Caenorhabditis elegans: one gene and its partners. The protein of the gene in region 4 interacts with the protein of the main gene of each other region in a pairwise test. Each region holds a gene or a part of one and is shown on either strand. Other genes may lie near its edges. The genes, in order: tbx-39, ceh-27, lgg-2 and ZK121.2.

Region 1 (4,101 bases), on a different chromosome or scaffold from region 4:
TGTGAAACATTAGGAGCAATTTTTTTGTTGAAAATTCCAGGTTACCAAGTAGTTTTTCATAGTGAATTTTAGAATGTTCAACTACTAAATACTCTAATGATTGTTTAATTTTTTCAGCTCTATTCGTGGAAAGCTACCTTACCAAGCCGAATCCCGAGCCATTGATCCTCAAATCATCGATTTTTACTCAAGGAAAAAATGAAATCAAGTTCAATGTTTCACATGTAGTTGGGCCAAGAACCAATATTGCTGATTTCTATCTATTGCGTGAAGGAGAAGAAGGAAAATGGAGACTTAAATCTGGAATTGTTATCAATTAATATTCCATTGTGATGAATGAAGTAGTACTTGATTAGAATAAAGAAGTTGCTCGAAAAGAATTTTTGTAAAGTTCTGATAATTTTTACTGTTTCTAAACGTTGGTAAATCTAAACGCATAACTTGTTGTTGATATTAATATGAATTTTAAAAATGATTTTTTGATTCCAGTTCCAATCAGAAAATATTGTTGGGAGAAAAACATAATAATTGCAAAACATGGTGACAAAGTTATCAGGACATTGAAACATAATTTTAATTTCAGCATTAGTTAATTTTTCGGAAAAAAATACAATTATATGCACATGGAATTAAATAGAATGGCTACTCAAAAAAATTCTGTCTTTAACTTTATCAAAATTGTTTATCTACATATTGCGTGTTTCACTATAGTAATTTAAAACACTCCGTAAATACTTTTGTATTACAATTTTAATTTTAATGTCAACATGCATAATATGCTCAATGATCCGTTCAACCTGTATTCCTTGATTGTTTTTGGATATTTTTGAATTTGTCAGCTCAATAGTTTAGTTATGTACATATATATCTCAGTAAATTGTAAACCGAAGCTATATTCTTACCGATAGAAAAATATTCAAGAAAAAAGTAACTTCTGTTGGGATTTTAATTAATTAATTCATATTTTCGAGAATAAATGTGGCATATTTCACTAACATCAATAAGGCCACCAAACAAATTGTCTTACTCTCATTAATGCAGCAAATGTATCACAATGTTGAAACAGCAATTTTTATTTTTTTTTTAATTACAGCTTATTAATTCTCTCTTTAAGAATGTGATGTCTAATACATATTTACTAATACTGACATAGTGTTTTGCAGAGCGGAGTAGAATTTTCATCCAAAATAGAAACTTTTCAAATAAATCCTTTTCTGTCTGAAATTTTGTTATTAAAATAACGTTTGCAATGAAATGTAAACCTATCATTTTCTATATTTTCAATTTTGTAAAAGTATACACTTTCTCACTTTTCTGCTTATTATCTATCAAAAGACTAAATATATTTTCCCAGTACATAAAGTTTACAACCATTTGGATTGTCAGGTGTGTGTCCGGAAATCGATCGAAAAGGAATGATATGTCAAGGAGAAGGAAGTAGAGTTGTAAAGTGGTGGATGTTAAGGTGGGGGATACCTTGCACCTATTGTCATTATGTGAATGACAATTGGGAAGAATATAGGTCACCAGTGGAACTGTAACGTAATGTTTTGGAATAGACAACTTTGACATGAAATATTAATATGTGAAAAGGTAATCTGGAATAGAGAAGCACGCAGAAAATTGACACTACAAAATAAAAGTCTAAATGTGGATATCCTTAAATAATTTGCTTTGGATCGGGTTTTAGTATTTTTATTTTAAATTAGTAACTCGGGCGTTTTTATCAAATGCGGCAGCACTCAAAAAGTTACTGTTTCAATATAGTGATTAAAAGGACATCACTATATAAAGTACGATTTCCAGTTTCAAACAGTTTTTGTTGAGCAATTCTAAGAGAGCAAGTGAATACAATCAATCGATAATTGGTTGACTCAACCCAGTGCTCAGGCTCCGCCCACTAAGTGGGGTCTAAAACATTAAAGGGATAGAGAGGATCATTCATTATAATATTTTGTTTAGTATACCGTTTTTTTTCTTTCATACTTCCTATTAATATATGTTGATTTTTTTTCAATATTCAGATTCAATAATGTTTTCACAAGCTCAATTCAATGTTACAATGGCTGAAGAAGACCGATGGAAACAATGGTATCCAAATATGGAAATGATTGTGAATAATAAAGGGCCGAAACTAATTTTTCCCGAACTCAACTTCAATATTACTGGATTGGAAGAGAAATCGAGATATGTTGTACTTCTTTCAATTGAAAAATATGACAATATCAGGTATTTTTTAATGATTTTCAAAGTCACCATTAAAGACAAATCTTAATTTCAGATATGGATACCGAAATGGAAAATGGGGACCTTCAAAAGTCCGTCATGCAACGAAAAAAGAACAAGAAATCAAATATTTCTTACATCCAGATGGAACAAAACTTGGAAAGGAATTGATGAAGGAAACTATTAAATTTGATACAGTCAGGATTACGAATCACAAAAAATTCATGGACAAGGATAATGTGGTTAGTTTGAATTTTTAATTCACTAAATAATATTATAATTAATTTTTATTTCAGTTTTTCGTGGAAACAATGCACAAGTATGTTCCAGTCCTCACTGTCAAAAATATCACGAATGTTGAATCTGCAAATCATTCTATGAGAATGGAAGTAGCCCAATTTTTCCCAGTCACAGTATACAATCAAGAATCGATCGGAAATTGGAAATCTAAATTTCACAAGAACTCAACATATGGAAATAGATTGGATGGGGGAAACAAGAGAAAGAATACTGATTCGAGTGAAGAGCGAACATCAAAACGATCAAAAAATGAAACAGAAATTGCTGTTTCGGATATCCTTCAAGTTGCCTCACAATCAGAAAATTATAATGAGTCCACGAATTCTGGAAGGCTTCAAAATGAGATCAGTTCCTCTATTCACCAGTTCCCATCAACTTCCTATCAAAATCAATATCCACATGCGTATCCAACAGTCAATACTCCACCAATTTATGTTCAGCAATTCACAGCTCTATTTGATGAAATCCACAATCAATTCGATCCGAAAACTAAACAAAATAGGGTTGCAAAAAATGTTCAGTATCTTTCAAGTGTACCACAATTTGCGATCAATCAAAAGGAAAATATTCATCAGAATGCTCCAGATTACCCAGTCTCTCAATTTCCAAATCAATATCCATATGGTTCCTATCCCTATTATTATCCATATTTTCAATCCAGCCAACAGTTTCCACATCTCAACTATTCCATGAATAACTCTATTTATTCTGATTCCTCTTTCCAGTCATCATTTTCTGCTGAAAATTCATATTTCGATGAAAATGGAAATCCTATCCACTATCCATATTATTCTAGCAATTAATTGTCACTTCTTCATTACTAACCCTTGTTTCCTATTTTTTTCAAATTTTCCTGTGATTGTTTTGACTTCTCTGTCCATATTGACTTTAGCTCATTTTGTTTAATTCTGTAAATTATTTCTCACCTAATTTTCTGTTTCTAGTCGCAATAATTTGTAAATCAATTTTCTTTTAATAAACTTTTAACACTAATCTTGCTTTACCGTTATGATAAAAGGGCTCAGAAATTCATACATTATTCATTTTCAAAATTAAACATTGCACTATTAATCCACTATTGAATAAAAATAATTGCCAAAATTACAATTTAATATTATAACGTGATGGCAAAGTTTTCTAAATGCGCGTCCAATTTGTTTCATTTCTGCAAACACCGCGACGACAAATTGCATACCGGGTGTCAGGGCGGGCGTGAGGGGGGCGCGGGAAAGAGGCGGGCGAAGGGCGCCCCCGACACACCTCGCCCGGATGGAAAGCCTATTATGGAGCTGCTTAGCAAAAAAGTTTGCTTTTTTTTTTATTTTAATGTTTCAATTTTGATGAATCAAGTGTGGAATAGAAACATAAGCACATCATTTTTGCGTGTCAAATTATTCCGAATTTCGGATATTAAAATTTGAAATTTTTCAAATTTTTCGATTATATTGTGGGCCGCAGATACGTAACTTTACAAAAAAAAACAGGAAATATACCAACTATGTAAAGCAGACGACTTTTCCTGTCGTTGATTTATTTATTTTTTGGTACTTGAACATTAAATTCCCTCACTTTCAA
Region 2 (6,062 bases), on a different chromosome or scaffold from region 4:
TTATATCATCTAGATTTTCCCACTTTGCGTTAAAGCCTTTTGCAACTCATTGTAATTACAAAGCAAAACAAAAGTGAAAATATATTAACACTCATTTTTATGAACATCAAGAAAATTTGTTTGTAGCCTGTAATTGAATTTGGAAAATAAAAACTTTGAATCAAAACGAATCTCTCTCACTAGTTTAAACTTGAACTATTTTAAGTTAATTTTAATAGAGAACTACATCTGATTAAACGAGAGTTTTTAATGGAAAGTTGGTTCGGTGAAAAATGAGAAAGTAACACTAATACTCTCACGCTCTATTGATTGTTGGCTCACTGTTATCAGTGTGATCAACTTCGTTGACTTAGCAAACTTTTTTTTTCTCATGGTAAAAAAAGAAGGTCGTTAAACTCATTAACATTTGGATTGTCCACTAATGATTGAGAGTTTTGAACTCTCTCCCAAGTGTAAAAGTTCAAACTGGATGTAGGAAGGCAAAGTGCAAGGTAGTAAAAAGAAAACAACTATTTACCGATTGAAAGAATCTTACTGAAAATATATTAATTTTACAACTAAACAGTTGATAAGGCAAAGTATCAAAGTACATTTTAAAAAAGCTGTTACGTGAACAAAGGTTTTTTCTCTTTTTATAAAAAAAACTAGGTATATCAAAACAGTAGAAACGGGAGGAAAATTTTCAAATTCCACACTTCGGAATGACTGAAGTCCAGTAAAAATATATATGCCCGTGTTAAGAAACTTTTTGCAAATCTCAATGTTTTAGGCGTTCATTTTTCCATTCCCTCAATAAACATTATTTGGAAACTTAAAATGTAAACTGCATCTTCAGTGTATTTACAGCAATATGACACAGTTCCTCGCCATTGAGAAATTATCAGTCTATTATAAAATTTTTTTATTGATTTTTTTCAGAATTAGGTTTCAATATGGCATACAACATTCAATACGACGTTAGTATATCTCAATATCTCCAAAAAAAATAATGAAGTAGAAAAAACTCATACAATTTTCAATGAGACATAGACATATACAACCTTAAATTTAAGATATTATCACAAACATACAATTAAATGACGACGCCGATGGTCTCACCTTATGGTGCAGTTTTATCTGAAAAGAAATTGAATTTTGCGAAGGATTGAGCTGTTTGTCCTTACGGTTTCTATTCAAGTTATTTCGCTGCCCCTTTGGTCTTTTTTTAGTCTGTTATTCTGTTGGCAACATAATTTACCAAAAAGAACAACACTCTCCAACACTAGTCAGAATTAGGATAACTGAATAATTTGCCAACTTAGGTACTTGTGGAGAAATCACATGACTTGAAGTTTTTTTCTTGCTAGCTGAGTTTATTTGGGAGTCTAGAACTCGAGATTTTCAAGTAAAGAAATTAGGCTTCTCCTACGCATTCTCAATTTCATTTATAATTTTCAGCTGGTAGCACTTGATTAAAATGGGCAATTAGGTTTCAAGTATTTCTTCTCTTTTTTTTCGGTTTCCATACCTCTTCCCCTCCGATACCTCGATTCTGTTTGCCCCAGTCTCCGCCCATGGCATCCAATGAGGTTGGTGGGCGTGTCTATCGGGTGGGACAAGCAGGGCGAGAGGCTGGACTGAAGGCGCACGGGAGACACGCACACGGTGAACGATCCTCCACAAGCACTCATATAAGAGGTAAATGAGCTCTAAGAGATTCTCTCGGTTTACTTGAAGGGCCACTTTGGCCGTCCTCTCCATGACTTTTCAAGTTTTTAACTTAAGTGAGTTTTGAGTAGTTTTCGGGACGGACGCCACTTCCATCCTCCCCTTCACACCCCATCCTTCACATTTAGCGCCCCAATCGAGGCACTGGAGCAGCAGTTTCAATTCTCTGTTTCCAAAAAATAATGATAGAATCTAGAAACCTATACCATATTACCTCAAACTCTAACTTGAAAAGTCATGGTGAGTCTTCTATTCATTCCTTTTATTTTCTTTGTATTCTAATATGACATTAACTTTAGAATCCCAGTTTCTCGCCTTTAACTACAATTAATTTGTAGAATGTCTTCTGGATCATCCAATTCCTCCACATCAGCCCCTAATTCTGTCACACCAACTACTGATGCTTTCTCAACTCTCTCCATCTCAGCACCGGCTACAACTGCAGCACAAATGTCTTATTTTGCCTTCCCTAATCAATATCCACATGATTTCTCAAGGTATGCTTTTAATTTGAGGTAAATTCTGGATGTATGATGATGGATTATATGTCCCCCAGATGTGGAATTATTCAACATCAATGGTTTCTAGCAAATATAATTTATTTCGATTTAGAATACAAAAAAGTTCAAAAAAATCCAATTAATTAGTTAATTCACGAATAATTTTAGCAAACCTGAATATTTCTTCAGCTACAACACAAGTGCGGCCTACGCCACCGCTCCTGAATACAAAAAAGTTCAAAAAAATCCAATTAATTAGTTAATTCACGAATAATTTTAGCAAACCTGAATATTTCTTCAGCTACAACACAAGTGCGGCCTACGCCACCGCTCCTTACCCAATGGCAACGCATCCTCAACTGGCCAATTGTGAGTTTTTTTCTTCAAATTCATCTTCTCGACTTTTCTCACTTTCCCGTTCGCAAATAATTACAGTCCGGTCAATTCAATTGAGTTGCGCGCTTCGCATTTTTCGCAACAATTATTTTATGTCTAGATTCTTTGGTTTATTATTTAGATTATTATATAACACATACATATATAAAACAAGCGTGCGCGATATAATTGACATATACCCGAGCTACAGTAGGTCTGGTCTATGAGTAAAAAAGGTTCCCACACTAGCTTTTTCCTTTCTCTTAGATCTTTTTTCGCTTCTTCCTGCAAAACATATAATCCCTTTCTGCCGGTGGTGCTAAATGTTTGTCTTTCCAACGAAACTCGTCCTACAGTACCTCCCCTTGGTTGCCACAACATTGGAAATGAACAAGTTTGCCAACTCAACTAACTACGTCTGTCCCTTATTTTCCTTTGTTGGACAACAAACAACTAACACCATATTGAGAGGTGATAGTAGGGGTTCAATGAAGTTGCGTCGGAAGTGACGTAACATCAGTAATCTACAACACCTACTTGAAACCGTGAGAGAATTGCTTCCAAAACTTAAAGGCATGAAGGTCGTGGTACTGTAGACGTGAACATGTGACAAAACTAGTTGGTGGAACTTTTAATTGTTGGAAGGTCAATGGCGGAAATCATAAAAAGGAAATCTGCAAAAAATGTGAACTCCGAATTGAAAAATTGCAGTAAGGGTCCAAATCAGATATCATATTTTCTGATAAGTATTTTAGAATGCCAAAAATTTATTTTCTATTATATCTCTACTTAAAATAATTTACATTGTCATTCTATTGAACAGCTTTGACATCTCATATCTGGGTGGTTTTTTGTTTTATCACAAAATTATCAACTTACAGTAAATGTCATTTTTCATATATAGTTTCGTACTTAGTTATTTTTTATAGCTTTAAAAACGAGATTTAAGTTGTCAAAGCGGAGCAATTAAGTACAATTCTGACAAAAAAAATACAGTAGTTGATACCGTATCAGTTTTTAGCTTTAAACCAAGTTCACTGCTGAAAACTTTTTCAAAACTTCCAATTTGATCTGAATTTTTATCTTTAAATGTACAGGACAACCTAGATTCAGTTGCTGGCAGCTTGTCTGCCAATTCTCAGCAATTTGTTTAGTACGCCACGGGGAGTCTCTCTCGAATACTCAATTGTCTGGTAAACGGACCATATTTGTAGAAGAGTTTGCTGTGGTGCCATTTTTGTATCGTAGTTAAGACAAGTGTTAGCATACATTGACACGTGCACGCATGTGTATTTTTCTTATTGTTTTTATAAGGGACTACGGAAATTGTCGATTTCCTGAGACTTCCGTTGAAGGGCAAATTATCGCGGATCTTATTGCCATGATCCTATTGTATTTAGTAGGCATAAAACAATCACTATTTATTGCAGTTAATCGCTTCCAAACCAATCAGCTGAATTTGGGACTTACGACACAGCAGAATATGATGATATCACGAAGAAAGCGACGTGTTCTCTTCTCACCTCAACAAGTTCACGTCCTGGAACGCAAATTCCAAATCAACAGATATTTGAGCGCCGCGGATCGGGAAAACCTTGCGAAGAGTATTAACTTGTCGGCAACACAGGTTTGAACTTTTAATTTAAGCTAATCATTTGCGATGTTTCTTGTTAGTTTCTCACATTTGCCGTATTCAGGTGAAAATCTGGTTCCAAAATCAACGCTACAAGTGCAAGAGACAAGAAAAAGAGAAGAAAATGGATGGTGGATGCTATCGGGATAGTGACAGGGACACTGATTCAGACAGAGACAATGATAGTAGTGGATCACTTGGAAGTTCGATGTCTGGAATCAAGAAGGAAGAAGATGAAGATCGGAAACCATTCATGCCATCAGCAGTTTCATCTGATACAGCTTGTCTTCCGGATATCTCACAACAAGCATTCCCATATCAGGTTCGTATTTTAGATTTGTTGAGACTTTCAAATCACAAAATCGTGTTACAAATAAGATTTTGTGACGGTAATCCAATAGGATTAACATAGGGAATCGGATCACACACTTGTGACTATCTCTCTATTCTAATTCAATTTGTTCCGTTATGATGTGGTCTCATCACCTGGAAACAGATGCAGATGCACAAATGATTTTTGAAGGACCCACTTCTGACTGCAGCTGTCATTTTCCACTTTTGAATCACAGGCTTATGAACTGTGCAGTTGTTTTTTATATGGCTATCGTTAGATGACAATGTTCAACTATGTTTTTTTTCCAGATGTACCCTTCGAGTTCATATATGCCTCCGTTCTTCGCATACCAAGCACCTCCTGCAAACTATCCTCCGTCTACATACAATTTATCGACATCAGCATTTCATAACCTTTAGCTGACATTCAACTATGCTCAATTTTTTTTTTAATTTTCTCAATTTCAATCTAAAAATCTCGTGACTCTTCTGTTCTCTTTCCTTCCCCAATCCTCAATGAGCTTCTCATTTTTTTATTCCAAAAATTGAAAAATCCCAACACTAAACTGGTATGTATTTATATGCGTTGTTGCTATATTTTTGATATTATATAATCTTGCACAATAAAAATAATTTTAAATTTAAAACTTTGTTTCATTGATTTCAGAAATAGATGTCGCTTTTACCGTAATCATAATGACAGACGACGTGCCATTCTCTTCCTATTCATTGGGATGAATGGTGATGAACATGAAGAGGCGCACGCATGTTGTATAGAAAAGAAAATGCGTAGTATATTGTTTTGTAGAAAACTGAATGGAGGTACTTGAACAAGACGTCGACATCCAAAAAAAGGAAGAAGGAAAAGAAGGAAATGAAGATGTCAGACAGCAATAGTGACGCGATGAATCATCCACCAAAAATTAGGAAGATTTTCAGAAAACATGTTTTCAGATGTTTTTAGGTGGTGTTCACATTGTTGCACAAGCTGTGTACTTCTCGTGATAACTGCTTGAGATCATATAGAAACGATTTTTAGTAAATTACTTTTGAAGCAAAATTAGCATTACAGTTGAAATAATTTAATTTGCAATTGGAAAAATAATCGATAACATTCTATTTCATAATTTATTCCATGTTTTTCCAATTTTTCCAATTTGCAGTTCTTAAAAGGCAAACTTTTTTTAAAACTGACTTTTAAAATGTATACTTTTTTCCAATATTGTACATATTCCAAAATGAAATCGCTTTTTTATTTTTCTTGTAAAATTATACACCATCCAGCTTTAATCCTGTTTTTGTAGCAGAAATCCCATTTTTCAAGTTCATGTCTTCAACTGACACCTTTGGTATGCACAGCCGGATAATCTACAGCTTGATGACAGACAGACACGTGTTGCGTCACCACCTGCACACATACAAAGCTCCCAGAAGAAAGGTGTGAAAAGAAAGAGAGAGGAAGAACACCGTGACTTTTTATCCCTAGTTTGGCTCTATAATTAAACGATTTGCGA
Region 3 (4,485 bases), on a different chromosome or scaffold from region 4:
TGATTTTTTATTTCAAGAAATAAGCGAAAATATTAATATTTATTTTTGCGACTCACTTTTTATTACAGTGTGCAGCGTAGAGACTGCATATGGTACAAAATGTTGGCAGATTAGTGATACTAAAACTGAGATAATGATGACTGTGGTTAGTGAATAACCTTGTGGTGGGGCCGATTTCGGATCTTCTTGAACTACTGAAAATTATATGTTTTTATTTGGAAAATAATCAAAAATGTACCATTTAATTTGGAAGGTCTTCGGGTTTTTTCCAAAAGATAGGAGAAATCATCGGAATGAGTTCGTCTTCGAACTGACATCACATTATTTAAAACTATCTGCAAAAAAACAAATTTTCCAGAACTTATTCATGCATTTGAAGCGAAAACAAGAAAAAAGATCTGCAAATTAATTTTGAGCATGATTCCACCTTTCGCTTCGAGACCAGAGTAAAAAAACGTTAATGCGCCTTTGAGTTACGGTAGTACTGATTAATGGTTTGAACACCAAATGCATTTTTTTTCGATTTTGGCATGTTTTCCTTCTTTTTTTTCAAGTTATATCCGAAAAACCTAATTTAAAAAACTGAATAATCTTTTATCTAAATATTAACCATATAAATATCGACATTCCACTCGATTTCACAAGAAATTTCTTCATCTTTGAAGTTCGTACGCGGAAAATGCTATTAAAGAAAAGAAAATAAACGAGACGCAGACAAATGCACACGGCGTGCGCAGTAACATATCGATTTTGAGACGTAAACATAATTGAGTTCACTAGTCATGAGAGTCTGTTTACTCGTACATCGATTTTTCACTTTTCTTTCTTTCCCCTCATCACTTATTGTTTTGCTCTTTCCATAGTTTCGTCCTCATCTCAAAACTTCTTTCGAAATTATTTAGATACCCGCATTTTCAACAACGGAAAATCTAAGGAAACCCTTAAAATGTCAAAAAAATATCGCAGATTGCCAATTTTTGCTGTGAAATCTTGATCATATTTCATCACTTCTCCCTTTTTCGAAAATCGCGTCAAAGATCTAAAGTTCCGAGAAAAAAGTTTGCAGAAAAAAACGTCAGTTGTTCTGATTGGGAGTAGTAGATTCAGACTGGAAGTTCTAGAGATCATCTGGTTCCCCTGCCCTTTATCTCTCCCTGCCACTATTTTCAAAGTACAAGCACTTTTTTTACGTAGACCGATATAAAAGAGTTGGCTGGTATAGATAAAATCTTTAGTTTTCCGTTAATTTAAACGGCCCATTTTAATATTAGAAATTTTCATTCATAAAACCAAGCATTTTCACACTAGAACATTAGTTGAGAAGTTTTCTAGGAAGTATTCAATTAAAACGTTTTCTCCTATAACTTTCTTAGTGTCGCCAACAAGTCTCGCTGTCATATTTATTTAATTCGTTGCCACTCATCGTTTCAAATTTCGCTATCATTTCATCTGTCTGACACTGCTTCGAACTTCTGTATTAGCTGGGAGAAGGGTCATAATACACACTCTCATCTTCTCTAACTCTATTCTTTCTTTTCCCCATCTATTCCTTCATCACATGATTCTTCTCTTCTCATCGTCTCTCCGTCTCGCGGTCATGTGTCCTCGACGCTCAGTCGATCTTGTGGTGTGAGAAAAGAGAGTAGCATCAATGAAGAGACACAGAGGACAAAGAGACATACAGCAAAAGAGCGTGTGTGCTGCCTACTGCCTCTGTCTCGATTTTTCCCTCTGTCCCATTCCCTTTCACCTGTCTTTTCGCTTCTTGATAAAAAAATTCTCACAAAAACATACAGTGTCCTTTAGCATCTCACACTCTAATTTCTCTTCTAAAATCAGTTTTCTCAACTTTTCAAATACCAGTTACCATTTTTCAAGTTTGCAGATCGAAAATCGGGTCTCAGCACGAAAAAGTGAAGAAGCGTTTATGCTAGCCACGCTTCAAAGTTACACACAAACAGCGATGAGCGGAAATCGGGGAGGATCTTACATTTCCGGAATCGTTCCATCGTTCAAGGAAAGAAGGCCATTCCGTAAGTTTTTTAAAATTCATTTACTAATCAAACAATTGTCATCAAAATAAAAATAGAGCTTCAAGTCTCACTTTAATTTTACTTTAACATCAAACATCTGGTTTTCATCCCAACCAATTCATTCCCAATCATTCCCACTTTTTTTTCCTTCACCCGTCCATTGTAAAAGGTCAGAGACGCAGAGGACAGACACCCCGCGTCATGCGTTTCAGCGAGAGAGCATGAGGAAACAAGAGACAATATGCAAGTGAGACATGTGAAAATCAGCTGATCTTGTGTGAATGAGTGACTATGTCAGTGGAGCAGCACCCATGGAACATTGCGTATTAATTGGGTGCTCTTCGTTGTATGAAAGAAAGAGATAGATGGACCTGAGAAACAAAGATCAATAGGGCAGGTGCAAGGGAAATAGGATTATAGGAAAATTTGGATCAATATTGATATTCTAGAGTTCAAAATATTGCCCACCATTCAAGATAACAACCAAAACTGAACGTACGCCAATCTTTAAATAGAAATATGAATTTTACGAGTGGAAAAGAGAAATCCAGAACTGAGGAACAACTTTTTTATTTTCAAATTTTCGAAAGAAAACCTTTTTAACCTATTCGATTTCAGATGAGCGTCAGAAAGATGTGGAAGAAATCCGCAGCCAACAACCGAACAAGGTTCCGGTAATTATCGAAAGATTTGATGGAGAACGCAGTTTACCACTTATGGATCGCTGCAAATTCCTAGTACCCGAGCATATAACCGTTGCCGAGCTCATGTCAATTGTTAGACGACGGTGAGCTATTCAACTGAGTTGTTTTTTCAAAATCATCCGTTTGCTTTTCAGCCTCCAACTTCATCCACAACAAGCATTCTTCCTGCTCGTCAATGAACGCTCAATGGTGTCAAATTCTATGAGCATGTCCAATTTGTACAGTCAAGAGCGTGATCCAGATGGCTTTGTGTATATGGTTTACACGTCTCAACCAGCATTTGGATAACACATCAAGAGCCGTTTTCCATCACAATTCTAATCAATTTTTAAATTTCCACCAACACCACTGATTGCCCAATGCAATCCTCACTGTAAAATGTTGTATTTTTAAATGTAAATACCTGAAAACCCATCATACTCAGGCGCCAACCATTTTTCTAGTTGCCTTTGCTAATTTCGCCCCTCGCAATTCCCCACCTCAAAACTTCCAGCTGAAATTTGTTTTACAAACGAAAAAAAAGAAACCCAAATTCGCTTACGTTTTCGTGTAGTCTTTATGTGTTCCCTCATAACTCTTTCTCCGCATTTTCCAGCCCGTTTCTTGAATTTCTTCATGTCTTCTTTTCACAACTGATCCTCTTTCAACAAAATTTAAACCGTTTACGATTCTGTGTACTTGGCTAGTCTCTAAAGCCCATAGGGACTATTTTCCTTACTGCCCTGAACATTGAAATTTACCGCTATGGACTTTCTGACTGCCTAGACGGATTCAATTCAAAATTATTACATCTTGTTCCATCGTTACTTTTCCAAATTCAATGTATCAAATGTTTTGTATGTAATAACAACTTTTTCGTCGTTTTTATCTGGAGAATGTTCATTCACAAGGAGATCACATACATATATAATAATAATAAGAGATGATGATGATATCAACGATTATTCTTCTTCCTGGGTTGCGAATGGATTGGCGATTTGCTCGAGTCCATCTGCTGGGCTAACTACTGTAATTGCTGTTCCGCGAGCCACAATAAGACCCAGTTGTCTTAAGATAAAAGATAAGATAAAATCGAAAATCTAGATTTAATTTGAAATCCAAGCTTTAAATCGATTTTTGGAAATCTATCAATTACCTTGTCTCATCACCGACGACCGAAGGATTTTGTGGATCACGGAGATACTCGCGGCAGTCATCAAGAACCATATTGAGCAACTGATCGAATCCTCGAAGCACGCCACTTGCTGAAATTTATACATTTTTATGGAGTGAAGTACAGCTTGTGTATGTTGGACGCTTTCATATTGTTTAAATAGTTTAATGACGGAATCTTATTGCTAGTGCACATCATTGTGCAAAAAAAAAACCAACCTTCACGTCCTCCTTGGAACTTGACGCGAATCTCTTTGTCGAGAAATCTGGTGAGATCAACGACAGACTCCTTCTTTCGTTTTCCTTCGTCTTTCTAAAATAATACAACAATTATAAATAACTTATTCATTGTATTTTTAAAACATACCGACATTTCTCTGTGTTGAGTTGTGGTGAGTCTGAAATAATTCCGAAATTTTGAATGAAATTATCGATTACGAATGAAATAAATTAAGCTGACAAAATCTTATTGATTTAGAATTTTTTTAAACGGTATTTTTAATTGATAAATTATGATTTAAAATTACAAACGTATATAGAGAAGAAAATAAAATAAAGAAAAGAAAAAATAAATTCGAAAAATATTAGCTCAACAA
Region 4 (5,166 bases):
TTGGGCTCCTTTTTCGAATTTTTGACGGAAAAAAAAATTTCCCCAAATTCTATAATTTTTCAATTACTCTGAGCCTCAACCTGTTTCATTTTCAGATTCCATTTCCACCTGCTTTCCTGTGTCTCTTCACTTTTTCCATTTCTCTCGTTGGGCACATTGTTAACGTCATTTGTATGAAACAAAGCTGAATGTAGACGAAGAAAAAACATCTGCATAGGCTCTTTTTGTCGATAATAGAATACAAGTATGAAACTCTGTGTCTCAAAGATAGAGTGGATAAATTTATTCATGTTCTGATAGTGAGAAATGAAAATTTCGAGTTAGTTTATACTTTTAGTATAGAGTTTACAACATAGCCAAATGGAGAAAACATATATTTGAACTTTGCAAAAAAATATTATTTATCTAACCAAAAGTAAACTACCGTATTTCTTCTATTAATATGGCTGCAATACTATTTTTCGATGGTCTTCCCGCTTGCAATACTAATAGGGAGTGCAAGACTATTAGGGAGTGCAATACTAATTTTCAGAACATTTTTCTGACTTTGAGCTTACTATTTTTTTCTGAAAAAAACTCGTATCTTATGTAAAAATTCAGAAAATTTGATTGCAATTGCAACAAAAAGGTACAATAACTTCAATTCCATAGAAATTTTACCAAAAATTTGTTGCAAAGTAGGCAAAAAATGTTGTAAAAATCTCAAAATTCAAAGGTGCAATACTAATAGGGAGTGCAAGTCTAATAGGGAGGCCATATTAATAGAAGAAATACGGTATTCTGAATTCCGCTCGTTAGTATCTTTTTATTGAAAGTTTTCAAAAGAGATTTATAATTTTCAAATAAAAATTCTAAGAATTTTACAATTCTTTCAAGTTATCAAGTTTTTGGATGTAGAACTACGTTTGCACTATATTTTCCAGAGATTCATACCGAAAAAGTTCTAAAAGTCAATTTCCGTTAGGAAACCTCACCTCAATTTCCTCCCACCCATTATTATTCAAGATGAGCACTCCCACCCGTGAGCCACCACAAAAACACATTATTTGGCAGTTTCTAATCCCCTACAAATCCCCCTTGAAAATGATTTTGATCTGATTTTGAGCTTTTCGCAGAAATAATTGGAAATGTTTGAGAAAATGGATGGAAACTGCATATTATCAGTGATATTTAGTTGTTAATTCATGCTTATTTAGTTGCCTGTTTCATAGAAAATTGGTGATAAAGTTGTCATACGGTAGGAAGTAGGACATGATTGGAAAAACTAGATTACTGTAATTCGAAGAGTCATTTTAAATTTAATTTTTTGAACTCTATAAGCTACTAATTTTGCCTAGGTTCAACAAATTTTGGGTCCCACCGCGAAGACTGGAGTTCAGTTTGAAATGTTAATTTTCATGTTTCAATGCACTTTTAAGCTATAATAAACGAGAGATTCCGTTACAAGACCCACAGTTGTAAAATTGACGTTATGTAACTTACAATTAGACGAGAAGATACATAAAAGTGGAAATACCGAATTTTTTTTTGAATTACTCGCAATAGAATTTTTATTTTTATTGCAAGAATACGCAAGAAACACCCGCAAATTGAATTATAACGGGCTTTAACTTCCTCCCTTCTTGCTTCCTCCACGTTTTCTTTGAACCTCTGCTTCACCTCAGATTTCTTTGTTTACATTTATTTGGTATCTCTTATCTCTGCATAGATAAAAGCTTGGAAATTCTTTTAATTTTTAAATACCTTCTTCTTTTTCTTATTCGAACTATTATACCTTTTCAAAAAATAGGCCTATTATGTATTTATATTCATTTTTATGTTTTTTATTGCGAAATTTCGTCTCGTTTTTTGGTTCTCAAAAGGCGGGGCTTAGCATTGAATGGGGGAGAAGGACATTCGTGGGCGGAGACTCTAAAGCAGCTGAAGCTTACCCACTGCTCCATTTTCATGCAAACTCTGCTCTTTTTTGGTAGTACTACTTCTTGAATCCTATTTTTTTAAATTCTCATCCTCTGCTTTTTCTGTGCTTCCAACAAAAACCAAATTTTCAGGTGTAAATGTCAACCGAAAACGACGTTTCAGAAGAGAATAATTCAGAGCTTGACGATGTTGAAGACGCAAAACAAGATGATCGGCGACGATCGACTACGGTAATAATGACAATGAATGTGACGACGGTGCCAGCTACAGAAAGTGAGGGAGTTCGGAGGAATGGAAGTGTTCGAAGACGACTTTCAAAACAGAATGCAACAATTGAAGAGGTGAGCAATTTCAAGGGAAGGTGGGAAATTGTCCCGCGAAGTGTCGGACTTCGAATATGGGTGCCGTTGCTGATGTAGTTCTTGTCCCGTATGGTGTATGCTGCTAAGGTACACAACTTCTTGAAGCCGGCTAAAAGTTATCACTAACCCGTAAAATGTCGGCTGCTTGGAGAATACATTATTTTATTATCATATTGATCAGCTCACTCTCTTGTGAATCATCAGAGGATGATCCGATTTTGTGTCATAGGCCGCGCTGAAAACTGAAATAGTTCCTGTTAGGAAGTCTGCTGAAATTCATATTTTTCACCCAATTTCGAAGAATGTTTGTAAGTTTATAGACAAAATCTGGTCGTTTTCGACTGAAATTTTTTAATTTTTAGCCAATATCTCTCCTGTCAATTTCTGATAGCCCATCAGAAAACTCGGATACTACGGTCCCATGCATAGAAGAGCATCCAGAAGAAGGCAAAGAAGAGGAGAAGCCAGCAGAAAGCAGTGACGTGTCAAAACTCCGCCCACCGGGTCTCGCACAGAATAAACTGTGGTCCACATCGAAATCGTTAAGCAGAGAGTCCACAGGAACCGAGTACTCGGACAGAAGTGGCATTGATCTAAGGAATTTTGTGGATCGCACGTTACACAAGAGTGAAGAAGATCGGAAGCAGCTTCTGGAGTTCGAAAAACAACTCAAAGAACTTATTTTAGATGATAGGTTCGTTTTTGTTAAAATTTCAGTCTGAAATTGATAATTTTCAGCACACAATCGAAAAGATTCGAGCTTCCATCATCCTATCACCGAATGCTTCTTCACAGGTGTGCCGCGTGGTTTGGTCTTGATCATAATGTTACGAATAAGCAGACCGATATTGTTGTGAACAAGTCAGAGAAAACCAAAATGTGAGTTGATTAATTTTCGGATGTATGTATCATGAAAATCATAATATTTTGTCTGTTTTAGTTTAGCCCCTTTATTTGGTCTTGTCAGATTTTAACTAGAAAAGTAACAAATTTCCAGTCCTGATGACAACTTCACCGACTACATCCGGCACGATAATTACGTAGAAGACCGACTGAAACGACAAAACACTTGCGGATCCCGCAAGGAACTTCACCATATGGAATCATTCGGTGATCATTCGACGAGTCAATATGGAAGTCAAGCAAGTCTTAATCATGATCTACTCATGATGCGAAGGGCACAATCATTTGACGTGGCAGCAGTCACTGGACCATCAGTTATTCAACCTCAATCTCCACATCATGTTCGAGGTCTTCCGATGCGACAACTTTCACTCAACTGCCCACAACAATCAATGGTTACTGCACCAATGAGTGGACCACAGGGACATCAATGGGCACCGCAAAGATCATTTGATTGCTCCAATAATAGTTATTTGTGCACTGGAAAACATCCAATGATGAGGGTGAGTATCAGAGTTCGCCTGAAAAATCGATTTTTCAAAAAAGAAACAGCGTCGAGTTTTACTTTCTCACGATCGCTAAGCTACAAGATTTTGAATCAATATATGATTGAGATTGAACGTGTGGCCGTCAATATCTGTGAGCTTCAGCCATGTCGATTTACGAGTATCTCTCATACATTTCATAAGTTTCCATAAGTTTCCGAGTTTCGAAAAATTTAAGATCACATGCCGTGGGCGCAAAAAACGCTTCTCAAACTCTAACCTCTAAATTTTCCAGAAAGCAGAGAGCTTCGGAGGAATGGCAAACGGAATATCACATGGCTGTTACGAGCAAAGTGTGCCAGTAGTTTGTGGAACACCTCCATCAGTGATGGTTCATCACCACCACCACCACGCTCACATCCAACAACCTCCAACCTCCAACTATACAGGCTATCAGGTATTCGAAGAAATGTCAATGCCATCATCAAACTACCAAGAGCCTGGAATGTGCTCCCCGGGAGGAACCTACTATGAGTATGTACCTCAACCAGTAGTTCAACCACAACAGTACGCTCGTCCAATTCGGTACATGCCACAAGATTACCGAAGACCTCAAGGAGTTCAGTATATGTATGGACCACCACCACCACAACAATATATGCAATACCAGCCAATGGTTCATCCGGAAGTTGAAGTTATTGTAGATCCAGTTCAAACTCAACCCTTTCCACAAGTCAGTCACTTTGTACTGCCTGATCAACAACAGGGATACTCATCAAGCCATCAAGCAGAGACAGCAAATAGTTTTATAAAGGTAAGGTTGAAGATGAGGAAATGAATTGATGGTTGTTGAAAATAGAACAACGATTTAGGCAAGCATTGATGGTGGATATGGAAGCATGAATCAAGACGTCGAGAATGCTGAAAAGGTCGAGGAGGTCTAAACCTTTCCCCCCCCCCCCCCCCCCCCCTCCCGTTGTCTCTTTAAATGGTATTTCTTCTTTCTAGCCATCCCCTTGTAGATTGTGATAAAACCCCACGAAAAGACGATATCGCCAAACATCTGGATAATTACGATTATATGAACATGATTCGAAGTACGGATTTTCAATTTTTTCTAGTCAACTTGTAGATTTCTTTCTCTCTCTCAATCCTTGTCATCTTTTTTTTTCTTTCGCTCTTTTGATATCGAATAAATTGATTTTCAATGCCGCTAAATAACCGCTAAACTCAATCATAAGACTTTGACATGCATTTTTAAAGGAGCAAGCATTTATTCAGAAGTGTCTTGGCACGAGAAAAGGTTCATGGTAAATAGCCATTGTTTAAATTTTTCGGCTGCCTCCAAGTTTACTTTCCTTAATTCCTTGCATTCTTCATTGAAATTACCTCGTCTTTAGAAAATTTTATGTTTTGTTTTCATTTTTCCGTTTAAAATGCTTTATTACGGGAACAAACAATTCTGAGAATGCATATTGCGCAACACATTTGACGCG

Evidence for each region.
Region 1: the proteins of ZK121.2 (region 4) and tbx-39 interact in a two-hybrid assay, tested with the Caenorhabditis elegans proteins (one large-scale study listed by BioGRID).
Region 2: the proteins of ZK121.2 (region 4) and ceh-27 interact in a two-hybrid assay, tested with the Caenorhabditis elegans proteins (one large-scale study listed by BioGRID).
Region 3: the proteins of ZK121.2 (region 4) and lgg-2 interact in a two-hybrid assay, tested with the Caenorhabditis elegans proteins (one large-scale study listed by BioGRID).

Annotation. Positions count from the first base shown.
Region 1 is NC_003282.8:15,321,861-15,325,961, forward strand, and holds tbx-39 (Putative T-box protein 39), read left to right. Parts: upstream 1-2,032; coding exon 2,033-2,229; intron 2,230-2,281; coding exon 2,282-2,468; intron 2,469-2,522; coding exon 2,523-3,329; downstream 3,330-4,101. Other genes in the region: Y73F8A.15 (DUF38 domain-containing protein), read left to right, coding at 118-320.
Region 2 is NC_003283.11:11,660,682-11,666,743, reverse strand, and holds ceh-27 (Homeobox domain-containing protein), read left to right. Parts: upstream 1-1,641; 5' UTR 1,642-1,677; exon of another isoform or gene 1,678-1,810; intron 1,811-2,045; 5' UTR 2,046-2,046; coding exon 2,047-2,204; intron 2,205-2,508; coding exon 2,509-2,576; intron 2,577-4,012; coding exon 4,013-4,209; intron 4,210-4,279; coding exon 4,280-4,537; intron 4,538-4,857; coding exon 4,858-4,968; 3' UTR 4,969-5,195; downstream 5,196-6,062.
Region 3 is NC_003282.8:10,933,304-10,937,788, reverse strand, and holds lgg-2 (Protein lgg-2), read left to right. Parts: upstream 1-1,885; 5' UTR 1,886-1,927; coding exon 1,928-2,033; intron 2,034-2,651; coding exon 2,652-2,820; intron 2,821-2,871; coding exon 2,872-3,025; 3' UTR 3,026-3,593; downstream 3,594-4,485. Other genes in the region: Protein adenylyltransferase fic-1, read right to left, coding at 57-194, 239-317; lsm-7 (U6 snRNA-associated Sm-like protein LSm7), read right to left, coding at 3,679-3,784, 3,873-3,981, 4,109-4,202, 4,257-4,262. UniProt on the Caenorhabditis elegans protein: Ubiquitin-like modifier involved in the formation of autophagosomal vacuoles (autophagosomes). When lipidated mediates tethering between adjacent membranes and stimulates membrane fusion. Less effective at promoting membrane fusion than lgg-1.
Region 4 is NC_003281.10:5,339,633-5,344,798, forward strand, and holds ZK121.2 (R3H domain-containing protein), read left to right. Parts: upstream 1-2,049; 5' UTR 2,050-2,057; coding exon 2,058-2,261; intron 2,262-2,644; coding exon 2,645-2,976; intron 2,977-3,020; coding exon 3,021-3,161; intron 3,162-3,279; coding exon 3,280-3,688; intron 3,689-3,965; coding exon 3,966-4,484; intron 4,485-4,542; coding exon 4,543-4,614; 3' UTR 4,615-4,627; downstream 4,628-5,166.